Alligator mississippiensis: one gene and its partners. The protein of the gene in region 2 purifies or fractionates together with the protein of the main gene of each other region. This does not show direct contact. Links are inferred from orthologs where the notes say so. Each region holds a gene or a part of one and is shown on either strand. Other genes may lie near its edges. The genes, in order: SKP1, BCORL1 and YAF2.

What was found.
Region 1: the proteins of BCORL1 (region 2) and SKP1 purify together in Homo sapiens (affinity purification with mass spectrometry; 3 studies listed by BioGRID and IntAct, with this or other methods). This does not show direct contact. The link is inferred for Alligator mississippiensis from reciprocal best matches to the Homo sapiens genes BCORL1 and SKP1.
Region 3: the proteins of BCORL1 (region 2) and YAF2 purify together in Homo sapiens (affinity purification with mass spectrometry; 5 studies listed by BioGRID and IntAct, counting the BioPlex papers as one, with this or other methods). This does not show direct contact. The link is inferred for Alligator mississippiensis from reciprocal best matches to the Homo sapiens genes BCORL1 and YAF2.

What each region holds. Positions count from the first base shown.
Region 1 is NC_081832.1:70,029,143-70,038,690, reverse strand, and holds the start of SKP1 (S-phase kinase-associated protein 1), read left to right. Parts: upstream 1-5,663; 5' UTR 5,664-5,771; intron 5,772-9,548. UniProt on the Homo sapiens protein: Essential component of the SCF (SKP1-CUL1-F-box protein) ubiquitin ligase complex, which mediates the ubiquitination of proteins involved in cell cycle progression, signal transduction and transcription.
Region 2 is NC_081831.1:40,005,122-40,014,887, forward strand, and holds the start of BCORL1 (BCL-6 corepressor-like protein 1), read left to right. Parts: upstream 1-5,370; 5' UTR 5,371-5,453; intron 5,454-6,014; exon of another isoform or gene 6,015-6,914; intron 6,915-9,766. UniProt on the Homo sapiens protein: Transcriptional corepressor. May specifically inhibit gene expression when recruited to promoter regions by sequence-specific DNA-binding proteins such as BCL6.
Region 3 is NC_081827.1:58,021,934-58,031,661, reverse strand, and holds the start of YAF2 (YY1-associated factor 2), read left to right. Parts: upstream 1-6,039; 5' UTR 6,040-6,266; coding exon 6,267-6,292; intron 6,293-6,420; coding exon 6,421-6,546; intron 6,547-9,728. UniProt on the Homo sapiens protein: Binds to MYC and inhibits MYC-mediated transactivation. Also binds to MYCN and enhances MYCN-dependent transcriptional activation. Increases calpain 2-mediated proteolysis of YY1 in vitro.

The DNA of each region.
Region 1 (9,548 bases), on a different chromosome or scaffold from region 2:
CACTCCTGATAAAGACTGGCAGATTCATTTAGAGAGGCAATGGACCCTTGGTTGAATTTCATATAGTGGCATATTTGTCTACAATGTAATACAAAAAGCTTTTTTTTTTTTTTTTTTAGCCTAGAACTCCACCAGGGCTACTATAAGAAGTGTAGTGGCTAACTAAAAGCATCAGCTGCCTACATTCAGTTCATATAAAAAGATTTTCTAAAGAGCAGGGTATACCTTTGCTGTGAGGGAATGCAGCAGGTATTGCATGGTGGGACTCCATTAAATGTCATCTACGCAGTCTCTTCCTTTACATTTCATGGATTATTAGAAACCTGTTTCATTGACCAGGCAGGGAAAGAGGATAGGAATAGGCTTGGGGAGGGAGCAGAGGTGATTTGTGGCACACCTGCTAAAAAGGTTGGTCCCTATGGCAGTCTAGTCTGTTAACATTAGAGACATCCCACAAAGTTTTAATTTAAGTACCTCCACCTTTGTACAACAGCCCTGTTACCTTTATAGGCCAAAAAGTTATTTCTGTAGAGGTCACTGTGAGTACAGGGATTTAATTAAGAGTTTATTTTCAACGGCTGTTTCAGAATAATTTGGTATATCTTCTAATGCATCAAAGAGGCAAAATATGTTATGTTGCAGGAAAACGCTTTTATATTTAGTGATGGTTGCATGGCAAGGGACAGACCCTTGCTCCATCTTCTTCTATATTGGTGTCTTAACCATTAAACTATCCTTTCCATTGAGAATGTAAGAATTGGCCTCACTTGATAACAGGAGAGAGACTTGACATTTGTTCTTGTCACGATTTTGTATCGGAATGGACTGCTATTCTGTTTGTCCCAGTGTCCTATCTCCTATAATGGCTACAGCAAAAAATCTGTGAAAGGTGAGAGATTCCATTAATTCTCCAAATGACTGATTCCAAAGCCTAAACTGTTTGCAAGTGGAGGAACTGCAGCACACAGGCTCGTGCCTGACACTTCCCCTTTGGTCGGTTAGGTCTGTGCATGTCAGAGTTAAGCCTGGCACCACCTGGTGGATAAACTAAGAGCATATTTTCATCAGCAGTTTTGTATCTGTAGCTGTTGCTTTTCCAACTTTCCCATTTATAGGTGACATGCGTGGTTTTATATCCATGTTTGTGTCTGGTAGGTAAAGGTGGCCTACAAACTTTAAGGGTTTTAAGATTAATTTGTCCCCTCCCCTTGTAATGGGAGCTTTAATTCCCACCCCTCCCTCCCCCCAATTTTACCTAAACTTCAAAAGCAGCCTCTTTCGAACCTTGCAGAACTTTTGTACCATTTAAAGCAGCTCTGTCTCTTAGTACCAGACAGACACCTGAGGTGTACATATCTCAGAGGTAATTTTTAACTCCCATGCCTAAAGTTTGGGTGTCCATGGTGTGTGTTTGTTTTATTCCATCTGATAATACTTCTCTAGGTACTCATGTAGTCCTCATACCTACAATATCTGGACTTAAATCTCCTGATTTTTTCTGTGGGAAGCAAGTTATGTTAGTATTATTATTGCATTGTTTACTCAACTTTGCAGACCATGCAATAATTTAGTAACTGGTGAATGTATGTACCCTGACTTTAGGACAGAACTGCTGAAGTGCCAAGGTAATTAGGGTGTCTTAAATATCTACAAAAGGATGGGTCAGTCAGTCTGCATTACAAATACATTTTGAGTTACAGCTTCATTTTGAATTTTCTTTTTAAAAGTAAAATATTTGACCTCTCCAAAGCATTTCTCTAGCACTTCTAATCCTTGCAGCATCCTGGGAGGTAGGTAAGGATTGTATTCTCCATTCTACAAACAGGGAAAACGAGACTGAATGGGCAAGTGACTCACCCAAGGCTCTGCATGAAGTTTGTGGCAGAGCAGAGGTTACAATTGCAAAGTTCCTGGTTTCCAGAAGTGGCTTCAACCTTTACATTGTTGTCTCTTACCATAATCTTACTGTTCTCTGATTTTATAGTTTGTACTTTGTATGGCTTCATTAGAATTTTGTGGAGTTGTGGCTGCATAGTGGGATCTATCGATCTGGAATATCTTCTGCTAGGGCGAGAAAAAAGTATTTAACTATTGACAGCTGGCTCACATTGTCATGGCACAAGGAATAGAATGCTTTCTATTTGAGTCATGAACAACTGCAAGACAATTTTTTAAAGTAATGGAAACTGGCAGTGCTGTAATCACGGCAGCACATTTTTTATTTTCTCCTGAACTATCAACAGTCTTTTTGCATAAATAATATATAACAAGAAATGCAATAAGGGTATATGGTAGCTGCACTATGGGGTTGAAGGGTTACTTGAAATCAGAATAAATCGTAGAAGTCTACCTGTGAGTGAAGCAATAACCTTTTGCCAAATGGCTCAGAAGAGTAAGTCCAAGTGCATTTGACTGGTTCAGTGGCTGTGAAAATTAATGTACACATACCTGCTTTCCTACCTGTTCATATCCCTAAAAAAACTGTTTTTTTTTAATTTCTATTACATGTGGGAAAGGTAGGATTTACTAAAATAATCTGTTAATCCTAAATAGGTGCTTCTGAATTAACACCTTCTTTTCCTGACTTTCCACAAATGGTATTGAAGGCTGAGCATGATGTCTAGAAGTCTGACCCCTTGAACTGTGGGCTCAGTCCTAGCAGTTGTCTCTGACTTTCATGCAATCAGGAAGGGCAAACTGAGTTCCATGCTGTGTACTGCATATGAAACTTTAAAGCTTATAATTCTGTATAGGATTCAAGGATCCGGCATTTATAATATATGATTTATAACCATAACTAGTCCTTTCAGGTGCTTATATGGATGGATTCCAAATAACTTCAGAAGAAAGTTGGTTTCATTATCCCTATCTCACAGGTGGGGAAATCAAGGCAGACAGTGAGGAAGTGATTAATTTAAGAGGCCAGCAGAAGAGCCAGAAATAGAATAGAAATACATCAGTTCTTCAGTGGGCTTCTGCCCTCCACCCAATGCTGTTGTCTGTTTATATGCTGAAAAATACTAGGATTATTTGCCCTGGAAGTGACATAATTTAACTCATACTTATCTCAGTAGCTAAAACATTTCATCCATTTCTTTTCATTCATTCTTCTTTTTTGCTTCACTTTTGGTTAATAGTCTATCAGTAGTAGAAGGCCCTGATTTTAAGATTTTTTTTTTTTTTAGATTTGTTTGTGGTAGTGCTTAGGACCTCTCTAACATACTTGCTCAGGTTTCTGCCTATTATCTCTGATAACTTTTATCCTTTTCTCAGCTGCCTTAGTGAAGGATGAGAACTTTTTTGGTATCTATAATATCCCAGAAATTCTCAGTTACTGAGTTCCAACCAACCATCTTTCCCACACACGCTTTAATGTCAGAGGGAGTACCAGGATATTACACAGTGTGCCAGAACAGGAAGACTTAAACTGAGATGTCTTTTTTTATATCATGTGTATAATTTTAGGTCTTTGCCATCTGTTTTACCATGCTGTTTACTTTTTGATGATCCCAGCTACCAGGCTGCCATATTGTCTGTATTGTCCACTTTGCTCTCAGCTTTTTCTGATGTCTCTATATCCCCAAGACCAAACGCAGTGGTAGGGCATACTTCTGAAAAAGCAGGGGTGAATTCCAGGTGGCCTGACTTTGCCTCTGTAGGCACCTCATTCTAGGACAGCAAGGTCTCAAGAAGAGGAAACTCTCTAATGCTAATCAGGTCAGTGGCTTAGGTGCTCCTTTCTTTTTTATTTCACTCCTGCTCATCTTTCTTGGGTCCCTGCTCAGGATTCTCAGGATCCTTGTTGAAGGCATCTAATTCTCTCTGCATTGTATACAGGGTCTGACTAAGGATTCCCCAAGGTGTTAGGCATTATGGGTGCATCCAGACAAGCAGAAATGTGTGCTTCCCTGGGGACACCTTGTGCCACTGCTACTTGTCCCTGGGGAACACCCGTGCCATGTGCACTCTGGCACGTGGCAGGTTACCCTGGGTGGGGTAGGGGAAGCTGAGGCCAGCAACTGTGCTGGCTCTGTATGTGCCAGCTTTACCTGGCCCATATGTGCTGGTCCCATATGTGCCAGTTTTACCTGGGGCCCTGGGGACCTCCAGCACCTGCAGCCATGGTGCTTCTGTGGCAGGGAGCTTGGTCGACAGCTGGAGCATGGGTCCGGCCAGCCAAGCTCCAGTTTTGGATGGCGTGCACTGCCACCACATGCACCATCCCTCTTTTTTTTGGTGGGGGCTTTTTTCACCCCAGGATCTCCCAGGGTCAAAAAACACCTGTGCCACAAAGTAGTAGTTCAAGGAACGCCTGCTTGTGTAGTGTGGCTCCACAGACAGGTCCATGCTCAGCTGGATGTGCCCTGACACCTAAATACCCTGAGGTTTTAGCTCTAAGAGCTTGATCCTATTTAAGAGCTCCATTTTTGCCATCCCTCATCTGTTTACACGAAGCTTTGCTAATGTTAGGGTGGGCAGGTTGCATCCACCTGCATGGAGTTCCTTGCGGGCTCATTGCTTAAATGTATTGTGGTCTCACTCACAGACCCACCATCTAGCTCTGTGCCACACAAACCTGCATCAGTTGAAAATGTCCTCCAACTAGTATTGCTTATGCATATCCACTTTACAGCTGCCAATTGTATGAAGCAGCAGCTTTAAATTATCCTTGGCATTTCTAAGACCATGTATTAGACAGTAGAGACCTCATTCGCTGGTCTGCTGGGTAGTTGCCAAAGATTTCACTGCGTTTGTCTGAAATGCTAGTTAAAGAAACTGAAATGATATTAAATGAATATATTGCCTTTTAACTTTCCTTCACCATAATTTTTCTTGCATCTTGAGTTTTAGTGCTTTGGCTCGCAACCGGGGCACCTACCTGGGCCTTGAAAATAATTCAGGGTTTCTCTGTCAAGCACTGAAATACAGAACCGTGCCAAACAGTGCTTGGCAATTTATTTGCAAGGGAGGGCACTAGGCCAATCTTTCCTCAGCAATCATGCACTGCAGTAGAGGTGGCATCTCCCTTTCTAACGTAATTTACAGCATTAACACACTCAATTCTAGCTGTCGGTGCAGCTTTTAGATTTAACCGTTGCTTGGCCAATTGATCCTTGCCCTTCAACAGTCGTTCCCCCCCAGCCCCCGCAGTAGTCTTCTTCTTTTTGAGCCACCTTCCTCCCAATGTAACACAGGGACATTTCACTCCTTCGGAGGAAACCCTAGAGTTGAAGGCATAGCCGATCAAGTTTGCACTCTGCTTTTCCCTGCAGGAGTCAGACATGCAATGGGATGATGACAGCAAATAGCATCTGTTTATACTGCCCTGGTCCTTGTGGAAGCTGGGCTCTCTCATGGTTTGCACGAGCTGCTCCCGGGGTTGAGGTAGAGGGTCGAGCTTATGCGATGAAAACCCACCCGGGTGAGGACGCCCGCCCTCCATCCCCTTTCTCCATGCTGAGGCGCCCGCTGTTACCAAGCGCGTCTCCGCTGCGGACAGCCTCTGCCTGAAGGACCCCGCTGCTCCTGCACTCCCCCGCCCCCAATGTTTACCTTTCGAAAACCCTCCCCCTCACCCCCTATTTCCTCTCAGAAGTGCAGCTTGCCGCACTTCCCTGCCCCGAGCGCTCAGGCGATCTGCGCGGGCAGCCCCGGAGCTCTGTGAGGCAGCGCTCGTTGGGGTCCTTCCTTCCCGCCCCGCCCCCATAAAAGCCGCCGCTGCAGCCGCAGTCGGGCCTGAGGAGACGCCGCCACCCGGTTGTAGCCGCACGGTGAGGCCCGGCCCGGCCCGGGGAGGGGACGGGGGAGGCCTGGTCTGCTTCCCCGCCGCTGCGGAGCTAGCCCGGGGGGGTTGGGCCTGGTCCCCGCCCGCAGCTCTGCTTAGTCACCCCGGTCCGCGGGCTGCTCCTCTCGCCCGGCCCCGGCGGCCGCGGAAGCGCAGCCCTGGTCTGAAGGGACGGACAGGCTCAGCCCCCGGGTCATTCAAGGGGGGGACCCTGGAGCCCTGTCGAGAGGCCGCGGGGACCCCCCCCCCCCCCCCCGGCTCCTCGTGGCCCGTCGGAGCCGGCCGAGTCGTGGGCTTGAGCGCGAGGGGGAGGGGAGGGGAGCGGGTCCGCGGGCAGGAGCGTCAATCCCGGGCAGGGAAAACCTCGGTCGACGCGCTCCGGCTCCTAACGAGGACTAGTGCATTTGGGGTGAAAACTGCTACGAGCATCTCACTCTCTTTCCCGAGCAAACGCAGGGCTCGCGGCGCCGGTAGGTGGGAAACGCGGGGATGATATAGCCGTGGTGCGTTGGGGATGGGCTGCGGTGTTTTTAAGCCCCACGTCTGTCCGTCTGTCTATCTTTGAAGCAAAACAAAACCTCTATTAGATAATCGAGGTAAAACAACTGGCTTAAATTTCCTTGATCTGGAGTTTAAGTGACCGCCTGCGCAATACAAACAGAGCCTAAACCTATCGCAGTCCAAAAACAAACCAACGGAAAAACCCTCATAAAATTGGGGATGAGCCTCGATTGTAAGTTGTCTTGCCTGTTCGAAGTCTTATTTTACCTAGCGGTTGGGAAGGTAGACTTGTACTTGAGCAAACTCAGCTTCTCACTGCAGGGTTGGACCTCTTGGTGGTAAGAAGTTAACATTTTTAAATTCAATATTTGCCTCTTTTTTTTTCCTGGGGATGACACAGCAATGTGTTGCTACAACATGGGGCCCAACTTTAATGAGTTTGTTAGTCTCTTCTAAGTTTATCTCTCTAAGATGTGGTAATACTTGCATTTGGAGGTAGAGTGTTTTATCAACATGAAGCAGCTCTGCCAAGTAAACTTGAAGAGGTTACTTTCTTCCTTTCAAACATGAAGATCTATGGCTACCGTCTGCTGCTGAGCAACCTGCATTGGCTGGGCTCCATTGGCCTGCGTTTGTTGCAGTGCTGTGATGAGCTACAGCAAGCGCTCGCTGTCAAGCAGATGGAAGTGAGCTGAAAGTCATATAGCTGGTCAGCTGCTCTGACTGCAGTAATTTTGAATCCATGAGGTCCTAGGCCCCTCAAGAGTTTGTGTATTTTTGTTTTGTTTGTTTTATTTTGTGTATGTATTTCAAGCAGGCATCAGTTGAGTAATATCTATGAGTGATCTCTGTTTACCCTAAAAGCCTTTTCCCAAACAATTCTTAAATGGGTTTGCAGACTATTTGAGGATGCGTAGCTTAAGGGTTGCTTTTCAGTTGCCTGCTCAAGGATCTCTAACCTATTTTGACAGTCTTCTGCAAAACAAAACATATAAAGGCCAAAAATGGCTTCATACTGATTTATTTTACTTTATCTTTTTTGCAAGGAAACATATTGGATGAATGCATTACTAAAACAAATCTAACTTGTATAAAAGCCAATTATTTTAGACTAATCCCATTGTGTGCACCCTAATGCGAAGGGCTAAAGAACCGGCAAACAAGATGTATACAACCTTACAACAAACATCTTAGTTGTAACTAATTAAAGCTGATTCTTGCCAAAATAAGCAGTTTGATTTCAAGAACGTTATTTGAAGCAATTCTAGACTTCATGGGCTAGAAGGGACTCTTACGCTAAACTAATCGCATGCATGGTACTCAGAGCCTTATCCAGTAACATCTGCATCATGCTTGTAACTTTTTTTTTTATAGGAGCTTAACCAGTAAGTTATTTAAACATTACTGGTTGCAGCATGGATTTGAGAATGTACTGTCTTTTAAATTTTGTTATAATAGACTCCTTTTACAGGAGCCTTTTCTTACAGGTAAATGCATTAAGAAGCAATTGTGTTGTCAGGTGCTGAAAGTAGGGGTGCACTGATAGAGGTTTTTGGGGCTCATACAGATAGCTAATTTTTGAGGAGGCATATTAGCTGATATGGATCTGATTTCTGATACAGCTGCATCCAGCTGGTAAGACTTATGGTGGAAGGGAAGGAGTGGGGGGCAGACCCAGGTGCCCCAGCCCCACTCCCTCCCTTATCATGGGGCAAGGGCTGCCCAGCTGGGGCAGAACAGAGCTGTGGTTTGTCTGGGGAGTGCAGGGGTCTGTCTGGTGCTCTCCTGGGAGCTCCAGCTGCTTGTCTGGCAGGGCATAGGGGATGGGGGAGTAGGTGTGTGCCTCTGGATCTGCGTGGGGTGAGCGGGGCTGGGGCTGAGCTTGGGGTAGGTGGCTCTGAGAGTGGGGCTATGGGGGGACTACAGTGAATTTCAGGGTGGCTGCAGCCCCCCCATAGCCTCCACTTCCAGTGTTGCCACTGCCACTTGCCCCGATCCAGGGGCACACGCCTCTTCCTCCCCACCCCCCCAAGCGAGTGGCACGGGTGGGAGCCACCCCCCCCCCCCCCCCCCCCCGGATGAGCTGTGGCCGGGCACTGCTTGCCTCAGCCCCACTCTCTCCTTCCCTCTCTGCAGGGGGGCCTTGATCTGTGCACCCCCCTCCCCCCCCCCCCCCCGGTCCCTTTCACCACAACAGACTTACTAGCTGGACACTGCTTTTCAAGCTGCGGGGCTATCCTCGCTGCCTACGTGCTGTGTTGTGACTGCACATGCATGGGCCATTTATCAGCCATATCAGGCCAATTTCTGATGCTGCCAATCTTCTTTATATTGGTGCTTATCTGATATTGGACCGATGGATCAGTGCACTTCTAGCTGAAAGTTCTCTTGAGTATACCATGGGCAAGCTTTCACAAAAATACAATGCCAAGCATACTTCACTTCTAAGGGGGCTTGGCCAAGAAACCAGGACTTCAAGAGTGCTTCTAGATCTAATTTAATCTGAAGAGCCCATGACTTGCATGGAGGAGGTGCCTTAATTTTAAGGCCGCTTTTAATCATGTTGTTAATGTTGGGTTTTCTGGAAGGTTTGCTGTATCACTTAAAACCCTAATTTGGAACTAGTGGCCACATCCAAATGAGTGTGGCTGTACACTATGTGGCACAGCAGACGCATCTGCGGCTCTACCCGTCATACATTCAGGTGTTTTCTGCGTGGCAAGGTAGCAGTGTGAGAGGATTTTTGACCCTGGGAGATCTGGTTTTGGGCATACTGCCCAAAACTGGAGACTGGCTGGCTGGAGCCATGCTCGGGCTGCTGACCAGACTCCTGAGTGGTAGGATCTCTGCTGCTGGAGCCCCCAGGACCCCAGGTAAGGCTGCTGGGGCCATCCCAGTGTTGGCTTCAGCCTCCCCTACCAAACCTGGGGTAACTTGTGGCGTGCCAGAGGGTGTGTGACACTGGTGTTCCCTGGGGACAACAAACCAGTGGCACAAGATGTCTGCATTCTTGTGGATGTGGCCAGTGAGGGATACTGTACCACTAACATGGATCACAGTAATGATGTAAGCTCTTATTTTTAGAAGAAAGTGTTATGTAGCTAAAAAAAATTAGGTAATTCCTACCTGCTTAGAGAAATACAAGAATAGCCTTTTTCTTACTGTATATTGTTAGTTACTTTGCTCTAAGAAAAGCAAATTAGATTTGTTGATCCCAATGGTAAAGTAGTTTCGGTGTACTGAGGTATCTTGGCAACATTTG
Region 2 (9,766 bases):
CAGTGGATGAAGATGTGTGGCAGGAAGTTTCATGCTGGACTATAAGTGTTATAGAAGAGTATCTGCAGAGCCTGGAGACAGACCATATGATCCTGGCTGCAACATGCAAACTTGGCCATCCCCACCTTCTCTCAGAGTGCAGAGACCTAGCGCAGCCCCTGCCAGAATTGCTCCAGAACCTTCCTTTGAGTCTTTCCTCTGGATGGGCACAAGGGCTGAGCTAGTACTAGATCACAGACAGGACCAATTGGTTGATAACCAGCACAATCCCCTGAAAGGCGCTGCAGCAGCCCTGCCCACTTCTGAAACCAGCCTGGCACCTTGGCCTCCAGCACATTTCAGGTGGCCCACAGGGAGGGATTGGCGGCAGAAAAGTTCACGTAGGGCAGCATATGCACAACCCAATGGATGGTATGGAGCACAGGTAGGAGGGAGCCCACTTGCTACTCATCCCCCTTCATCATGCTGGAGCTCTTGGACCAGTCAAAGAGGGTAAGCAGAGGAGAATGCTGAATGACAGCTTGGCAAGCTTCCATCCACACCAACAGGTTCTGTCAGGGTCCAGCTGAGCATTATCAAACCCTGCAGAGGCTTACAGCATGCAGAGGAACTCTAAAAATGGTGACTGATGCTGGACCTTTGAACAATTTCTATGAGACACTCATGGTCCATCTTGTCAAAGTACAAATACACTATAATTTCTCCTAGTCAAAGGACAGGAAGGCACGTGACCATCCTTACTTGTTAGCTGGAGGAAGCTCCAGGCCAGGAGCAGGTTGTCTAAGATGAACCAGCTTAGGACTGTGGAGGTCTGGTCAGAGTGAATCATATCTGATAGCATAGACCCCAACAACAGTAAGATAGTCTTTGCTGTGACCTTGCAGTTGTACTGAAGGGTAAGACACCAGTTCCTCAGATCACAGAGGTCCCCCATTCCTGGGCAGCAGCACTAGCATGGTCTCCTTTACAGGAGGGGGAGCTCCCCACTCCCCAAGGAGTTGGTTTAAATCAGTGGTTTTCAAACTGTGTTCCATGGAAACCTGGTTTCCATGGAACCCCACAATAGGTCATCAGGGATTCTGCAAAGAGATCGGGGGTAATGGCAGAGTGGGCCGGGAGATAGTGTGCCACCACTGCTGGGCCAGGTTGCTTAGCTCTGAATCAACTCATATAGCCCACGGAGCCAGGGGTAGGGGTTCCACAGCAGAAGTGATATGAAAGGGTTTTGTGATTTTAGAAAGTTTGAAAATGATGATGTCCTATACGCTGGCAAACTCTGGGCTGAGGACATCACAGAATAAGCAGTAGGTATCTACCGCTATCTTTTCAGTGTCGGCACAACCCTGATTTTTTTCCATTCTCCTGGAATTTCCCAATTTTTCAAAATATGATTTGCTATTAACATCAGTGATTCAGGATAGCTCTTAACCAACCCCTTTAAAACCCTTGAGGACAAATGAACGGCCTTTGCTGATTTAGAAACAGTAGATTTTGGTAAAACGACGCAGCAGCTAACAACTGTAAGAAAGTCAGTATTCACCCCTCCACTGGCTTCTCAACATGCATTGTATGTCCCAAAGCAGAATTCTTAGAAAAATAAAACACAACTCATTGCTTTCAGAAAGTCCATCCACAAGACTATAGTAAAAATTCCAGAGCTGCAGCATATCCTATTCTGTGGGCATCCTCACTATTACCTTTGAAGCAGCACAATTCTCATTCCCTTCTCATTGGGATAGCACTGTTGGTATCTCTCTGGTAAGTTAAGGCCGTCTTTTCTTCAGACTGTTCCAGTGCTTTTGCAAAGAGCAGAGATGACTGGTTGAATTTACATCCATATGAATTACCTCAGCGGGGAACAAGAGCCAAGTTAACCACTAGGGAAGGGAGCACAAAGACCAAGATAAGCAATGGCAAAGGGGAAGGAAGGGCTAACATGGAAAAGAAAAAAATTATATATTCTTTCCCAAATTCCTAGTTACTTTCCCAAAGTGAAAGGAAAAGAGTATGTTTCCTTTCTCCCCATAGTCAGTGTTCACTGGCCCGAAACAGCAAACCCCACACTCTTTTGAGAGCTAAAAGCCTATGCTGCCGAAAGCAACTTTCTCTAGTGATCTCTGGAGAAGCCACTACAGAAATCTATAGGTAATGCAAAAATCTGCAGTTCATTGGAAATGTAAAAATAATGGACAAAGTAGAATTGAATTTATCTTTAAAATAAACAACATATGACTCCCATTCTGCCCCCACTGGGCTGGGACAGGGTAGCGAAGGGCTTAGACTGGAAATATAGCATAATTATTGGGCCTTTGCTCACACTCAGGTCTCTTGTCTGAGACTGAAGCAGTGCAAAGGAATGTTATCACTTAGCTGACAGTAATCTTGCTTTTTGCCTTCCTCTAATATTGCCTTCCCTTTACATTTTACTCAGTTGTAGCTTTCATTGCTGCCTGCAATTTCAAAGTTTCAGTCCTTACAGCCAGCACTCCTATCCTATCTAGCTTAGGTACTTACAGAACCCCACCTTTATAGATCCAAATACCTCCAGAGGATTTGAAAAGAGAAATGGCAATCACCATGCTAGCCTGCAGGAAAAGTAGCTCAATTAGTTCATAGGATTTGTTCCCCTCTTACATGGAAATTTTGTCTGCATGAGATTAGCTTAGAAGGGAAGCTAAACCAAAAAGTAGAGGGTTGCAGTTGGTTCTGAATGCCATGTAGATAAAGGTTGTCTAATTTCTGAGCAGCTGGGGCCTGCACACTGCTTGTCACAGGCCCCTGGACTGCACCTCATGAGGACTGCATACTGTGGAGGCTGCACACCTCATGACCCACCTTCCTGAACCCTGTGATTACATGGGGGCTGTCTAACTGGTGGCCTTGGGCTGCATCCAGCCCACAGGGTGTTAACACATGTCCTCTTCCCACTCTGCCCCCCCACCCCCACCCCCACCCCAGTGACATGCAGACCACATGCACAGTGCAGCAGGAGCAATGGGTGGTGGGAGGTGGTGTCGACTGGTGAGAGCCAGGGCCACATGTTAACCTGTTGAGGGCCAGATGCAGCCTGTAGGCCACTAGCTGGACAGCCCTGATGTGGATCTTGGTCTTCTCCTTTCTTGTTGGGGAATATTTCTGTGGGAAGGCTCTGTCTGTGCTCAATTTCTTGATCCTACCAGCTGTCATGAGGGTCATAGCTGAGGAAAGTTATCCTCACAGAAAAGCAGGACTAGCCAGCCCTAACCAAGATTTTCAAATCTTGGAACCAGATTCCACATTTATAAATTGCCAAGACCTAGAAAATGTATAACAACAAATTGCCTATAGAAGTCATTTTCCCTCATACCTCATTAACCATTTCAATGCAGAAACATGATAATATAATGGGCCTTTACCCCCCCAACCCTGCAGAAATTGGTGAATTGTGGAAGAAATTTGTCAAACTGGAGGGCAAGTCAGAATGACATTGGGGAAGGGGGGAGTTGAACACAGTATGTAAAAGGAAGCCCTAGAACCTGGAACCCACCAGCAGTAGTCCCTTGCTCTCAGACGCTGTCCATCTTATAAAATCAAGGGCGGGGCCCCTCTCTGATAAAAAGAAAGTTCTGCGGGTAGGGATGTTAGAGAGAACAGTAGGCCATTCAGAGCAGAGGGGCAGGGAAAACCTTGCAGCTCAGAGGAGGAAAGGCCAGCACACTGGAGCAGAATGGGGTACATCTCTGGTGTGAGGTGCATTGGGGGGCACAGGGGCAGGGACTGAAGGAATGGGGACAGAGATCAGGGGGACGGAAGTGGAGGAACTTATGGCTTTTGGCCCACACCTTAGCAGAGATGAGATCCACCTAGGGGCAGCAGAAGGGGCAGGGCCCTGGGGCCATAAAAGGAAGAGCCCAGGCTGCAGAGGGGAGGGCAGGGCATGCCAGGGAAGGGGTGGTGGAGCAGACAGGCAGAAGGCTGGGTACATTTGCACCTTCTGCAGTAACTGTATGGGGAATAGGTGAGCCTTGACAGGCAGCCACTTGCTTCAGTTCAGGTCAGGGGTGGAAAAGGAGGCCGTGCCAGCGGGCGGGCGTGGGGCAGGATGCTCCGGGACAGGCAGAGGGGACGGAGCCGAGGGAGCGCTGGGGCCCCGGGGACAGCACGCAAGGAAGCTGGGGCGGGTGAAGACACGCGGGCGGCAGCGGGGCGCAAGCAGCTCTGGGCAGGACGAGGGACAAAGCGCAGCGCACGGAGCCGTGCTCGGCCCGGCTGGGGCTGCAGGGGGCGGGGGGCAGGGCGGGGCAGGGCAGGGCAGGGCGCGGTCCCGCGCGGCTCGGGCGGTGCGTGCGGGCCGCGAGGGGCCGGGGCGGGAGGGGCAGAGGAGGTGGCGCAGGGGCCGGGGCCTGCGAGCGCGGTGCCCGGGGCGGGGCGGCCGCTGAGAAACTTCTGCTCCGCCTGGCAGGCGACGGGGCCGGGCGCAGCGCAGCAGGCGGTGCCGCTCGGTCCCGCATGGCGCGGGCGGCTCCGCGCTAAGTCTCGCGCGGGCGGGCGGGCGCCCCGCGGCGCTACCAGTCCGGGGAGCCCGGCCGGCGGGGCCGCCTCCCCCAGTGACAAGCGCAGCTTGGACCGGGCTCGAGGATGGGGCTGATCGGGCGGCTCCACTCCGGCTGGCGGGGCCTCCTGCCCAGCTGGCCGCGTCGTGTCCCGGCTCGCGCTCGGCCTCCGCTTCCCTCCCGGCTCGCGGCGGGGACATGGCCCGTGGCGCGGCGGCGCCCGGCGACGCGGGGCCCCCGCCGGGCAAGGCAGCGCCGGGCCGCGCCGCGCCGCGCCGCGCAGGGAGCCCGTGGCGGGGCGGGGCGGGGCGGGTCCCTCGGCCCGGCCCGGCCGTGGCGCGTGCGGCGGATCTCGCCGTCCCGGGCGCGAAGGTGCCGCCTGTCCCCGCGCGGAGCCGTCCGGCCGCCGCCGCCCCGGGCGTGCAGCGCCCGTCCCCGCCGCGCTCGGGACTCGATCCCGCTTCCTCCCCGCGCGCGGCGGCGGTCCCCTATGGGGCCGGCCGCTCCCGGGCGTGGGGCTGCCCCCAGGCCGGGCCGGGCCGCGCGGAGCTGCGCCGCGCCGCGCTGCGTTGGGTGCGGAGCCCCCTCCCTGCCTCCCTCCCGTTCCCTCTCCGGACTCGGCTGGCTCTGCACGGCCCCCCCTGTGCGGGCAGGGCGGCGCGGGGCACGCCGGGAGCTGTAGTCCGCGGGGCCGGGCGGCGCGGCGGTGGGGCGGGGGCGGTGCGGCAGCCGGACTCGCCTTCCCGGCAGCCCCCGCGGCGGCGGCTCGCTCTCGCCCTCACACTCCGGCTGCCGCTGCCAGTGTCTCCGCCGCCGCCGCCGCCGCCGACCCTCGCTCGCGGCGCCCAGTGTCCGCCCCGGCCCGCCGCCCGGGCACGGCCCGGCTCGGCCGCCCCTGTCGCCGCCGCCGCCCGGGAGCAGGTGCGTGGCCGCCGCCGCCGCCGGACCCCGGCCCCGCCGCCCGGGCACCCCGGGCCCGTCCGCCCCGCACCCACCGCCGGGGGCGCCGGACGGAGCGGGCGGGGTCTCCATGGAGACCGGCCCGGGACCCCGCGGGCAGGGCGCGGGGCCCGGCGGGTGGGATGCAGCCGCGGGCGGGGAGCGGCGTCCGGGAGCGGGACGGGCGGGGCCGGGCCGGGACCGCGGGCGGTGACAGCGCGGGGCTGCGGCCCGGGGCACAGTCGCGATCCCGGCCGGGCGCCGCCGCCGCCGCTCCCCGCACGTCCCTGCCAGGGGCGCCGGCTCCGCGGGCAGCGGCTGCCCAGCCGCGCGCCACCCCGCACCTGCCACGCGCGACGCGACGGGCCGGGCCGGGCCGGGCCGGGCCAGGACGGCTGCTGGCGGCGGGGGGAGGCGCGGGGCGCCTGGCGCTGCGCTGCGCTGCGCTCCGCTCCGCTCCTCTCCGCGGGCTGCGCGGGCGGGGCGGGGCGGGGCGGGGCGGGACGAGCCAAGCCAGTGGAGCCGAGGTCCGGCCGCGGCGCCCCGTGTCGCAGCGGGCAGGGCGGGCCGGGCCTGTCCGGGCCCCGCGGGGGGGGCGGTGGGACTGGAAGCCGGCTCCATGTTCTGCTGGCGAGGCGCCGTGCTCCGCTCCCTGGCTTGTTGCCAAGGCGCCCCTCACTCGGGCAGAGTTTGGCGCTGGACGCGACGCCCGCTGGGGCTGGGGCGGGGACGCCAGGCGGCGGAGCAGGGAGAGCTGCCTGTCCCCTCCCTTTCACCTGGGGCGGCTGCTGTGGGGGACAGCACCCTTGGGTCCCGGAGCCTGCACCTCCCAGCTGAAGAAGATCCAGGCAAAGCTCTGAGGAGGGGTTGGGGACCAGCTTCTCAGAGCACAGCTGTGGGCCAGAATCTTGTGCTTCCTTACTAGCCTTGTTGTGGCAGCCTCCCTCCATATGGGGCTGGGCACCACGCCTAATTAGGGTCAGGGCTTGCCTGCACTGGAGATCTTGAGCCCAGGGGTCACGTTCCCTTTCCCCGCACAGGACTTTTCTGCTAGTGGAACTGTGTCCATGCTGGAGCTCTTGCCCACATGGCTGTAGTGGCTGAGGGTGTGATTTCGCCCCATCCCCTTCACTCCTAACCAACCAGCTTGTGCCAGCAGAACTTTTTAAGTAGAGACTAAGCCTAACAGGCCACCCCTGCTCCAGCGGCCTGACAGGATAACTAGACCACGCAGATAACAGGTGAAGGGGAAACAGGCCGAGAGGGACGTGACTTGCCCAAGGTCATGTAGCAGGTCAGTTGCAGAATAGGGAATGGAACCTCATGCCTTTCCGTCCCCTCCTAGTCTGGCCACCTATGATCTGCACCATGCTGGCACTCCACAAGAGAGACCTCTTCCCTCTGGGTCAAAATGATCTTGCAGGCAGCTTGTTGCAGAGACAGGTACAGGCCTCAACTACTGCAATCACGTACAAAATATTTTGTGGGTGCCAGAGAGTGGCTGTCACCCTTGACCAATTTTGCTTTCTAAGGATCAGTTGTATTTGAGGGTAGGGGACTGCTGCAGACTTGTTCTTGACGTGTTAAAGATGAAGGGCATATTTGGATTCAGTGGGAGGAGTCTTTGAACAGCCTCACTGGGTAGGAAAGTGAAGCCTTCCTTTAGTTAAACTTGGAAAGTTTACAGCTGATCCCAGGCAAATGGATTAAAATATCTTGGTTTTTATGGTGGATGGAACTGGGTCAAGGGAGCACCAGCTCTTGATTTTTTGCAAGGTAGAGTGCTGCCCATGTGCAGTGTCAATGAAGTTGGTGAGACTGCGTGGATGAAGGGGCTTATTTACCTGTGCAGCTTTGAGACTTTGGGCTGTTTGCATGTTAGCCTTTTTTCTTACCATTTCTCACATTACTTCCATCAGTTCAGATTAACAAGGGCATCAACAATGTGAGGACTAGTATAGACCTAGAGTCAGTGTTTTTGTCACCATGTGAATTAACTCTGTAAATAGCAGACCAAGGAGATAGTAGAAAACTGAATCTAATAGACCAAACCTTTAACAAATAATTAAATGGAGGAATTTGAAAAACTGGGGCTGAAATGGGGTTGGGTGGTACATGTTTTGATTTAGTGTCATACCTAATAGTTAGGAAACATTTAAATAAAATGATAAATTTTGTATTTTTTTTCTGGATGTCAAATTTTGTAAAGGTTTCCCAGCTTTTATTCCAGTCCACTTTATGAATTTGTTATAGAAAGCTTCTGTAGGGGTGGACTTTTTGCCATGAGAGACTGAGTGACTAGATGCAGCATTAGCAAATATTGGGGACTTGCTTTTTAAACTATGCTAAATTTTTAGGAAACTTTCCAGGCTTAAAGTGGGGATGACTTTTTCAGTGCATTATACTAGCCATTTGCTGCTACTTATAGTGTTACTGTGTCTCTGACCTGGTACAAGTGAATACATACAGGCAAAGGTTAGCTCAGCACAGCAGTAGCTGTGGTGTCTGGGTTGGAACATTAGTTAGTAAAGTTGAAGGCCCATGGTTAGGGCTAGATTGTGATCCAGTCTAACAGCCAAATTTAGCATGAGCGGGTCCTATTGAAGTTAGTACTAGATATGATCTGGCTTATTCAAGACTCCATTTGGTTTTAGACAGGTAAAACATTTGTCAGCGTTACAGTTCTAAATTCTTCAAGGGAAGTATTGTGATCACAAGAGAAAAACACAGTTTGCATTCACTTCTGTAAACCATTTTCCTAGCTGGATTCATGGGCCATGTATAATGCCTGCAGTAGGATTGTCCTTCTCCCAGTGCAAATGGGTTAGTTAAAATGGTTTGTGTGAAATGCATATGGGACGTTTCTCAAGGCTCTTTGGATTTATCATTGAGCGGGCTACCACATTTCAAATGGACTCTCGAAGATGCCATGCTGTAAACAAATTTTATTATTTGCTTGTGCTACCAATAGCATCAAAGATTACTAAATTGAAAGGAACACTAACAATAAATGTGATGATTAAGTGATGCAGTTTGTTTCCTTTTGGCATTTCTGTAAGTTTCACTGAGAAGTCAGTGAAGTTAGTTTCACTTTTGTTCTGTCACTTTCAGTTAGATTCTCCAGCAGAAGTTCTGTGCCATGTGTACTACCAAGTGGTTGTTGATGTGCTCAGAACAAATGGAATTAAAAAAATATATATGTATGGGTCTCAGATGTTGCTACTCTTTCTTAATGTATGTCACATTTTGTTCAGATCAGAGACTGAGTGTTGCAAAGATATCTACTGTAAGTGCATTCCAGGGTCAAAGTGCAGCCCATGTTAGGTGTTTCACAGTGCCTCTGGCTAAGTTTTGTACAGCACCTTTTGAAAGTAGCCATGTGCTCATCCTCTGTAGTAGTTGCTACAGAGGAGGGCACACAGGGAAAAATTCCAAGGTTGGGAATTCTCAGTGTCCTTTTGTCAAGACATGCTGCTAGTGTGTTCCACTTCAGAGAAAGAAGCTGAGAGCCCATCACAGGAGGAAGAGGAGGGAGAGCAGACAGACAAGGTTTATGGTGTTCTTAAAGAACCTAGAGCCCAGCTATATGCATTTTTCTGTCTGCTTTGCCAAATAATATTAGCAGAGGAATGGTCTGAAGCAGGCCTTGCGGATAACACCATTGGCCTTAGTTTTGCATAATGCTGGGAATTTGCCCCAGTTACAGCCACCAGCATACATGCAGCAGTTCAATGCCTAGTACAGACAGGCCACTATTTACACTGGTGAAGCTTACCCTTTTTTAAAACCTAGAGTGTGCTGCAACATTGCAGATAAGGCTCCAGGGGACTGTGTGCACTACTAGGCCCGACACAGGACATCTGCATCGCTAGCCACTGATAATCAGGGCTAGAAAAATTCCAGGGGGGAATTTGTGCTAGTGGTGCAGCTCCATTGGTGCTAGCAGTGGTGGGACTACTAGTGTATATAGTCTGTCAATGTTTTTAGTATCTTGATACCTGATAGTTGACTGGAATAAGGTTTAGCTGAGAGTGGTAAGATGCTGGCAACTGGCCTGTACCCATGTTCCTGTTAGTGCTATAGCAGTGGGGAGAGAATGCTTCCAAACTCAGAGGCCTTGTTGCTACCCGGAATGTATTTACCAGTATAACTATAACTGGTAAAGTGTGTACAAACTATATCAGGATCACTAAAGTACAGCCCCCTAATGCAGATGCAAATACCCCACTATAAAGGTGTTTATGCTTTGGTGGAATATCTCCATAGGAATGGGAATGTGTTAAATTGGTAAATGG
Region 3 (9,728 bases), on a different chromosome or scaffold from region 2:
AAAATAAAGGAATAAAGACAAGAAGTAAGATGAAAAACAGAGGCAGAAAAGGGAAAAGAATGGAAAAATACTGAATAGGAAGGGAAATGAAACAAAGTAGGAGAGACTGGCACAAATGAAAATGAAAGGTACAAATGAGCAGGCAGAGTTAGGGAGTGGGCTGTTTTCGATCCCATACTCCCACCAGAGTATGTTCACCCCTGTAACCAGCTAGTCAACAACAACAGCTAGTTGGAGGTACACATTGCTGTTGGATAAAGGAGCCTTGGCTTCCTGGTGGAATCTGCCACTGGCCTGACAGGATCCCCCAAGCAGAGAATACATTAGACAGCATCCGTGTTTGTCATTGATGTAGAAGCCATGGAAGGATGTGGTCCTAAATTTGAATAGTTCAGTGTATGGATAATGGGGGAGAGAACCTACCTCTGATATTGCTGGTTCAAATCCAGCCTAGAGTAATCACTTTCCCAGTTTTTAATGCACTTTATATCCTCTTAGGAAAGGTGCTATACAAGTGTGAAGTGGTATCATTATTTATGAATGATTCTTCAATGACCTATATGAAAGGAACTGGCAGTTTCTAATGGATAGATAGCCACATCACAAAACCCACTGTTACAGTTGCCACTTTTGTTGGGAGTCTCAGGAAGGAGGCTATGAATAGAATATGTATACAGGCTATCTTCTTATTTCTAGATGATCCTTTCTACCCAGGACTGTCTTTGAGGCCTACTAGTTGCACAGAGCGAGGTTGTTCTCTAACTGCTTACTGGAAATAAATGTAGGATTTTAGAGTCCAGAGCTGTCAACCCAACACCTTTTAAATTCACTAAAGAATGAAAAAAATAAAGTTTAACCAAACCCAATACATTAGAAACAAAAAGTGACTGAAGTTGTTCTTATTTGACAACCATTCAGTGTCAAATGTGAAATGGTGGTGCCAGTCCTGTAGGCAACAGATGACTAAGTCATAGAAATCAACACTAGACAAAAATCTCTCTTTTGAAGATTTATTTGTATAGCAAAGATGCCATGGAATAATATTATAACTTAGGAGTCCTCTAATTTATGTACTTTTGTCTTGCCAATGTGCCTTGAACCAAACAGTTACAATCACATTATAAAGCCAGGTTTCAGCTGTGTAAAGACTTGTTCACCATTATTTAATAAAGTTATACTGGTTTTATACCAGTATAATGTGGTGGTCAATCAGGCCCCAGGACTGTATCTTAATTCCATAAAACAATGTAACATTCTTCAGGCCTGTTCATGCAAGATCCAACCGTTTTACAATTTGGTTCTGGCTTTTGGGTGATACAATATGGTCTCTTGATATATGGTAGTAAATATTTCAGTTGCCCAGGGGGGCGGGTGTGGAGGGAGGTAAGGGCAGCATGGGAGGCACCAAAATACAAGTTTGCCTAGGGTGCCATTTTCCCTAAGGCCAAGTTTGGTTAGGAATGATAGTTGTGGGGTTGGCAACTGTGGCTGACCATCACAGAAGTTCTTTCCAGGAAACAGTCCCTCAGAGGAAAGAGAAACATTGCCACTGCTAGGTTACAACATATCCCAGGGTTTTGTAATTGGTGGTGAAACATTTTTTTTTGCTGCTTTTAATTTCTATTGTAAAATTTGTAGCGATAGAGAAAAGGTCAAGAAAAAGAGGTTATTTCAAAATCATTGCTCTCTCAGTTGGAAGAAAGAATATGTTCCTATGTATAGTGGAGCAAGGGCAAGAGGGAAAAGGGCACAAGGAGTCAGGTTTTCCCATTGTTTCTAATCTTACGATTTCTTCACAGCATCCAGGTATCCAGTTGAGCACTGGACCCCCCACTACGTATCCAGCTCAGCAGTGGAGCCCCTAAGCTGTATCCCTCATGCAGACTAGGCTCTGTGTGACAGTATAAGGGAAAGAACAAAAGCAAAAGAACTGGGAAGGGTAATAGGGTAATACGGTGAAGGGTATGGAGGGCAGGAAGAGTGATGGTGTTGGTGGACTGTAATGGAGGAGGGCTGGAAGAAGTCAGGACAAAAAAAAACACCAAAAAAACCCCACATACCAAATAGAGCAGGATATTCAGACTTAAAATTTTTTAAAAGGAATGAACTATTATCACTGCTGTACAGAACTGTGAATGCTGGCTTGGGGGTGGGAAGGAAGCCAGGGCAAGAGACTCTGGATGGTTTTGGAAGTTTAAAGTTAATTTGAATTAACTGTGTGAAGACAATAACTTCTGTTCCCACAGTTTTTAGGAGTCCCATTCAGGGATGAGGATCCCATGGCAATATTTTTTTTTTTTTATTTGTACTTAAGAATCCATAACAACAAAAATATATCTGTGCGTGTGACCCACCCAGCCCTAGATCTCACCCAGTTGCTGCTTCCCTCATCACTCTGGCTGCAAGTCTCCAGGCTCCCACATCCTTCCTCTGCCCTTGCTGCAGGGAATGGGGACCTGAGGGTGAGCTAGCTTACAATTTCAGATCTGCCTCTCCCTCTTTCAGATATGCCTCTCTCACCTATAGCCCACAATTTCAGATCTAGCCTGAGGAGTTAAGGTGCAGGGAGGGAAGGGAGAAGGTACACTTGCACCAAGACCTTGCAGCTATGGCAAGGAGCAGTCATGGGCAGGTCTTAGCGCTGGCCTACCGTGGACCTGATGTAACACAGGGCTTTCTCGGGGCTGGTCTGTGATTGGCCCACCCACCTGTTTCTGGGCCAACCGCCTGCCTCCTCATCTGCCACACCTTGATGATACATAATTATGGTGTTAATTAGGCGGAAGGCTGCCTATTCTTGCCCTGATGCCAGGGGGCGTTATCTGCAGCTCTGTTCCTCCCCTACACCACAGCCCAAGCCTCACAGATGGCATCCAGGTTAATATTACTCTTGGCCTCAGACCAGAACAAACCAAGTCCAAAGTTGGGCTTTACACACATGCACATTCATGTCACCTCCCCTCTCACAGGAGGCCTCTTCCACTCCGCCCCTCTCTCACCCAGGCCTCTGGCATACTGCTCATTACCAGGCCACACTCCATTGCCCTGCTCCTCCTCGAGCAACTCCTCTGGGCTATCAGGCTTTGCTACTCGCACACTGGCCTCACCACGCAGCCCCTTCAGTTCCCATGAGTTCCCCTACTTTGCATGGTCCGGCATTATGCCAAACCCTAGGCTAACTGCACCCCATACTAGGCAACTCTATACACTCACACACATACTGGGCTCCCAGCCCTCTGGTTTCCCCCTCACTGGGGCTCCACACCCACCCCCTCACTGGGGCCACAGGGCTTCCCTCCCCAGTGGAGATTTAAGGTGGCTGCAGCCATGCCTAGCCCTGTCTGGGTCTTACACCATCCTTGGGCTCAGGTGGCCATAGCCATGCCTGGCCCCCTTGTACCCATAGTATTATGGGGGCTAGGAGTTAAGGCACCCCAACCCACCTTTCACCGGGGTGGTAACTGGCCTGGTATTTCCTGGGGGTTCCTGCACCACCAGGCCACCCACTCCCAGCAGGGTGCAGTTTTAGGTCATGCCCAGGACCAGGAACCTCCAAATCATCCCTTTAAGCTCCTGCCTGTACCACCAGGATATTACCTACAGCCTTGCAGCCAGGCAATGTTTCTATCTAGCCTGCCAGTACCGAACTGCTCTGTTTATATAGGCAGCCAGAGATCTAAAATGGCCGCCACAATCAAGCACCTGCTGACTGCTTGTCTCAGCCCTTAACGTGGCAGACACCAACAGTGCCCTGCCACACCTGAGCTGAGGCATTCTGGCTTACTGCTGATATTAATATATGCAGAGATGATCAGAGTGGGGTGTGGGGCCCAAGGCAAATCAGCCTGTTCAGGGCCCTACCCCAGGACGCAAGGAAGCCAGCAGCAGATTAGGCAGTGTGGGGACTGCCAAATGGCCAGACATGAAGCTGGTGGCAGCATGGAGTCGCCGCGGCCGCTCCGCCTGGCTCTGTGGGCCCCCCCCAGAGCATGGGGCCCAGGGTAGTTGCCCCAATTTGTGTTGCCTAGGGATTGTCCTGAATATATGAATGCTTTTCACCCTAATGCAGTTCCATGGCTAGCTTCCTAATGGACCTTCACGGGAGTGGTACCATTTTTATCATGGAATGGGCTAGCTGTTACAAATATCATTCTAGAATAATGTGAAAACTTGATTAAAGAAGGAAGGGTTTCCACACCGATTTGAAATGATCAGATTCTGAATTAGTTTAAATGTCATCTGGATTGTTATTCCATTTGTCATCAACAGAGAATGCTTCATTCTCTGTGGCTTTGTGTTCTTTGTCCTGAGCTTTGACCAACATTGTTCCAGAGGAATGCAGCTATCTTGGAAGTTCCTAGCCCTAGATGGTAATATAGTCTTGAATTTACTCAGGGCCAGATCAATTAATTCCTCAGAAGAGAATAACTGGGCATGTCTACATGTTCATTAATGCACCGTAATCACAGCACATTAAGTTTACTACCTGTAATGATAGGTATTAAATGTGCTGTAATTGATGCTACCGCGCATTACAGCAAACGCTTTTTTGTGATGTTAAAGTGCATTACACTAAGTATATTGGGCATTAGCGCAGTTTTGCCAGCCACGCTAATGCGCACTAGACTTAGTCTAAAACATATTAAGATCTTGTGTAGATGCGCCCACTAAGGCCTTGAAGTAGCAGTAGTAGCATACTGAGCCAGCCCTTTGCCCACCCCACAGAGAAGGTGAGAAGCCTCATTCTGCACTAGCTATGAAACCTCCACATTGCTTTCAGATTTATATTCAGGGAAATACCCTTATCCAGTCCCATGGATACCCTTATCCAGCTGACCAACCCATGGATTTCTGAGGCCTGGTCTTTGCATGAGAAGGAGAAGTAAAGTTTGAAGAGGTGGAAGGATTGGATCTTTTGGACTGAATATTGGCTCTCTGAGGCTTGGCCTGCCATCAGCCTTTATACAGGACACAACATGACAGCACAGACTGTCTTAAATAGTAAACACAAATGGCTGTCACAGGTATGCAAGGTGGACAGTACAGCAATGTGTTTACAGCCTGCATGAAACGCACGTGCCATCACTGCAGAGCAGGTCTGTTCTCTCACCTACTGGAACCCCAGAGGAGCAGGGCTGGAACGGACCCCCAGAGGTCACCTCGTCCAATGGTTTTCAACCTTTTTCCATTTGCAGATCCCTAAAAAATGTTGAGTGGAGCCCTTGTGACTGCTGGTAGCCATGTTTATGGGCCCCTCAGACATTGAAAACCACTGGTCCAGCCACTCCCCTGCCTAAGGCAGGCCCACCCCTACCCAAACCGCCCCACCCCAACTAGGGTTCCCAACTCTGTTTGCATCTATTCCAGGAGGTGCCTGGAACACCCACATGCCCATGACAGACAATGTGAACTTGTGTGTATCAGTTACACATTACCGTGCATCATTGGCGATGTGTAGGGGGAGGCACCAGTGGCCTGCGCTGTGCGTAGAGTTGAGGTCAGGGAGGCAAATGCACATTCCTATTACATTTAAAAAACCCACTGGGGCCTACTGTATAAGTCAGATTCAACATTTAATATTTAGCTTAAGGAATGCCCTATCATTTATCTCCCAGGTGGCTCTCCTGGAGATCTGTATCTAATCCGGGAGACTCTAGGGCAATCCTGCAGGGTTGCCAACCCTAATCCCAGAACAATTTAGCAAAACAAGCCCTGCCACAAGACAGGACACCCCAGCGCAGCCCGGGACAGCAGGGCCACGGCGCGGGCAAGGGCTAACGTGCCCTCCAGAAACCCCAGGAAGAGGCCCCACAGCCCGAGCAGGGGGGAATCCTCCCTGCCCTCCCCAGGTCTCAGCAGGGGAGCGCCCGCTCCGGGGTCCCGCGCCCGGGCGCAGGGCGGCCGTGCAGGCCTCCCCCTGGGCGGGCCGGCGGCGCTGACTGCCCCTGCGTGCGCTGCTGCTCCGCCTCCTCCGGCGCTGCTGGGCTGCGGGGGGCGCTGGTTGGCGGCGGGCGGCACGTGAGGCGGGAGGGGGCAGCGGCGGCGGCAGGAGTTCCCCGACAGCTGGAGGTGGCGGCGGCTCCTCCTCCCCGGGGCCCGGTGCAGGCAGAGCCCCCTCCTTCCCTCCCTCCCTCCCTCCCTCCCCCGCCCGCCCGCCCGCCCGCCCGCGCTCGCTCGCTCGCTCGCTCGCTCCTCCTCAGTGACACATACACAAAGGGCCGCGCGGCGCGGGGCCGGGCCGGGCTGCGGACGCGTCTGGAGCCGGCATGGGAGACAAGAAGAGCCCGACCAGGTAGGGGCGGGGGCCGCGCGGGCGGGAGGCCGGGGCCGGGGCCGGGGCCGGGGCCGGGGCCAGGGCGGGCGGGCGCGGGGCGGCTGGGCGCCGCGCCTGTCTCCCTCCCGCTGTGGTGTGCGTTGCAGGCCGAAGCGGCAGCCGAAACCCTCTTCGGACGAGGGCTACTGGGACTGCAGCGTCTGCACCTTCCGCAACAGCGCCGAGGCCTTCAAGTGCATGATGTGCGATGTGAGGAAGGGCACCTCCACCCGGTGAGTACCGCCCGCCCCGGCCCCGGCCCGCGGGACCCCGGAGCGCCGAGCTGTGCCGCCGCGCACAACAAAAGCCGGCGGCGGCCGCGGGGGCGCTGGGAGGAGGGGGGACACAGCGGCCTGGCGCGCAGGGCGAGGCGGATCCGGGCCCCGGGGCTGCTCCCGTTTCCCCTCGGATGCAGCCGCCCCTGCCCTCTCCAGCCCCATCCCCCCACCTTGTCCTGCTCATCTGTCTCCCTTTAAAGCAGTGATTCTCACCCAGATGCGTCCTTCCCCCCCAGACGCACCCCAGCGCATTGGATTCTTACAAGGGTGCTGCAGAGGGTGCCCATGGGTGCTCCCACCATCACATGCACCCCAGTGGGTCAGATTCTTGCAAGGGTACTGCGGAGGGTACCCATGGGAGCTTTCCCCTCTATTGCCCTCCCCCCGTGCGTCAGATTCTTCTAAGGGTGCTGCGGACAGTACCTGTGGGTGCTTTGTCCCCCAACAGGCACCCCAGTGGGTCAGAGTCTTGTCAGGCTGCCTCAGAGGGTGCCTGTGGGTGCTTCGCCCCCAGTGTGTCATGTTCTTGCGAGGGTGCTGCGGAGGGTGCCCGTGGGTGCTTCCCCCACCACACACATCCTGGTGCATCAGATCCTTCCAAGGGTGCTGCAGAGGGTGCATGTGGGTGTCCCCCCAACACATGCACCCTAGTGGGTCAGATTCTTGCAAGGGTACAGCAGAGGGTGCCCGTGGGTGCTTCGCCTCTAGTGCATCGCATTCTTGCGAGGGTGCTGCGGAGGGTGCCCGTGGGTGCTTCCCCCCACCACACGCATCCCAGTGCATCAGATCCTTCGAAAGGGGCTGTGGACGGTGCCCATGAGTGCTTCCCCCCACCACACGTGTATCCCAGTGCATTAGACTCTTCCAAGGGTGCCACAAGGTTTCCAAAAAGAAGTTGGCGGCATGGTTGGCAGTCTGGCCTGTTGGGGTCTTTCTGAGCATGCAGCAGCGGAAGAATTGCCCTCCTGTCTTTCTGTAGGCAACAGAGGAATGAAAAGTAAGATGCGGCTATTTCCTGAGGGGCGCCCTGAGCCTCCTGATGGGTGCCTTGAGTCTTAATAAGGTGGAAAGCTACTGCTTTTAAAGGCCTGCCCATTCTCTTGTCCATTTTGTTCCACCTTGTCCTGCAGATTTAGTTTCTGTAGAGGTGGGGAATTTATTCTTTCTGGAAAGGAGCCTAAATGGGCTGAATTATAGGATGCAGAAGCCCCCCACCTCCCTGCCTGGACTAATCAGTGACTTATTAGAAGACCCTTTTTCTGTCAAAATGGTGCAGTGATTTCACTGGTTTTGACCTATGTCTCTGTAGGTTAATATTAGTAGGGTGGAACCTGGATAGGAGGATGGGGAATTCTGCAGAATCAACAAGAATACAATTGTGCAGTCTTTTGTGTGTATAAGTTTGTATGACTATGCTTATTGTTTCATCCTATTAACAAAAACGAGTCTAAAAATAATAGAAACCACAGTCCTATTGAGTGAAGTAAACTTTATTTCAGCCATGGAAATACTGAATACAACTCCATCAACAAACGTATGATAAAACAGTGTTTGAACTACAGAATTGCAAAAGTGAATAGATTAACTTTATATGAAAGACTCATCTGCATTTGCAATGTGCATGTATTAGATTTGTGAAAAACGTAATTCACTTTCTAAAGTATTTTTAATAACTTAAGGTTAGTTTTAAAAAGGTAGTTTGTAGAAGGAATTTTTATGAGAAAATCAGTCAGGTATGGTTGGTAAGCAAAAATACATCTCATGAATATGGTGTTATTCAGTGACAAAAAGAAGATTGGCTTTATTCTTATATCAGTTTTCACAGCTATACCTTTTTTTTTTTTTTTTACAGACCAGTAACATTCAGCAGAAAATTATAATGCTGAAAGAGTGAGTGCAAAATTCCCCAAACAAGTTTAGTACAAATGAAGATGACAGCCTCTCATTGCCTTTATTAAGGAGTCAAAGCCAGTTAAAATAGTGATTTATTGTTCTGGAAAATCACTTGAACAAAAGTATTAATTTTTAAAGGTGGCATTGGGTAAAAGAGAGCTCTGGCAAACAAGTGATATTATACAGTAAAAAAAATGAAGATTTAATTTTGTTTTTCATTATTTAGTGAAGTTTTGCTAGGCACAGTTTAAGTAGATTTATTGATTTCCATTTCCCCCACTTAAAAAAAACAAAGTTGTTTGAAATCTTTTTTCCCTATAAGACTGAAATGGATCCCATTTCTACGTTGTCATTATGCCAAGTCTTGGATTTACTCATACCTGTTAGATACTTGGGTACATGATTCACATGCATGCAGATTGTAAGCTTTGATTCTGAGTTGGTTTTTTGTTGGTAAACCCTTGTTCCCATAGAGAGCTGTTTTTTAATCTGGGGCTTCACGCTGGCCTAGAGATGCATCTACACAGTTCTGTTTAGAATCCAAAACAAAGTCACATCTGAACATTTGGGCCATATAATACATAAAACAAACTAACATGTGTTTTGTATTTGATGAAAGATTAGTCATTTTCAAAATAATTTTGTCATTGGGTTGAGATGAGGCAGTAGTGAATTCTCTAGTCTTTTGTTTCAGATGACATGTTTTCATAAATTAAACTATGGCCTTAGCATAGTTCTTAACGGGGATTGGTTCACATCTCAAAATCTCTGTCCAATTTTTCACCAAGATGACAGCTTCTTATAATATATTGTAAGTTATTGGTGAAATTCCTTGGCATTTTAAAGAAATCTGTTACCCTGCGCTTTGTCTTTTGGTACTTCTTGTATTCGGGAGTGCTAAGTGTCATAACATTCATTCAAAGTTGTGGGGGGAAAATGCAACCAATCACAATCAGCAAATATTACTGCTTTTGAAAGCCAGTGGATAACAGTTGAATATTAGACTGTATTTCTGTCTGTTGTTTTGTTGATAAGGACATACAATTAATTTTATATTTAACGTTTTGTGTCTTGACATATTTCCAGTGTTGAATAACTTAATTTTTTTATTTCCACATTTTTAGGCCAATGAAAAGGCATTGACCCTTTCAAAGACTTGAAAAAATTAAGATTAGTAAAAAAAAAAAAAAAAAATTGTATTATAATATATTTTTGAATTATACTGAATATTTGAAGCAGAGCAT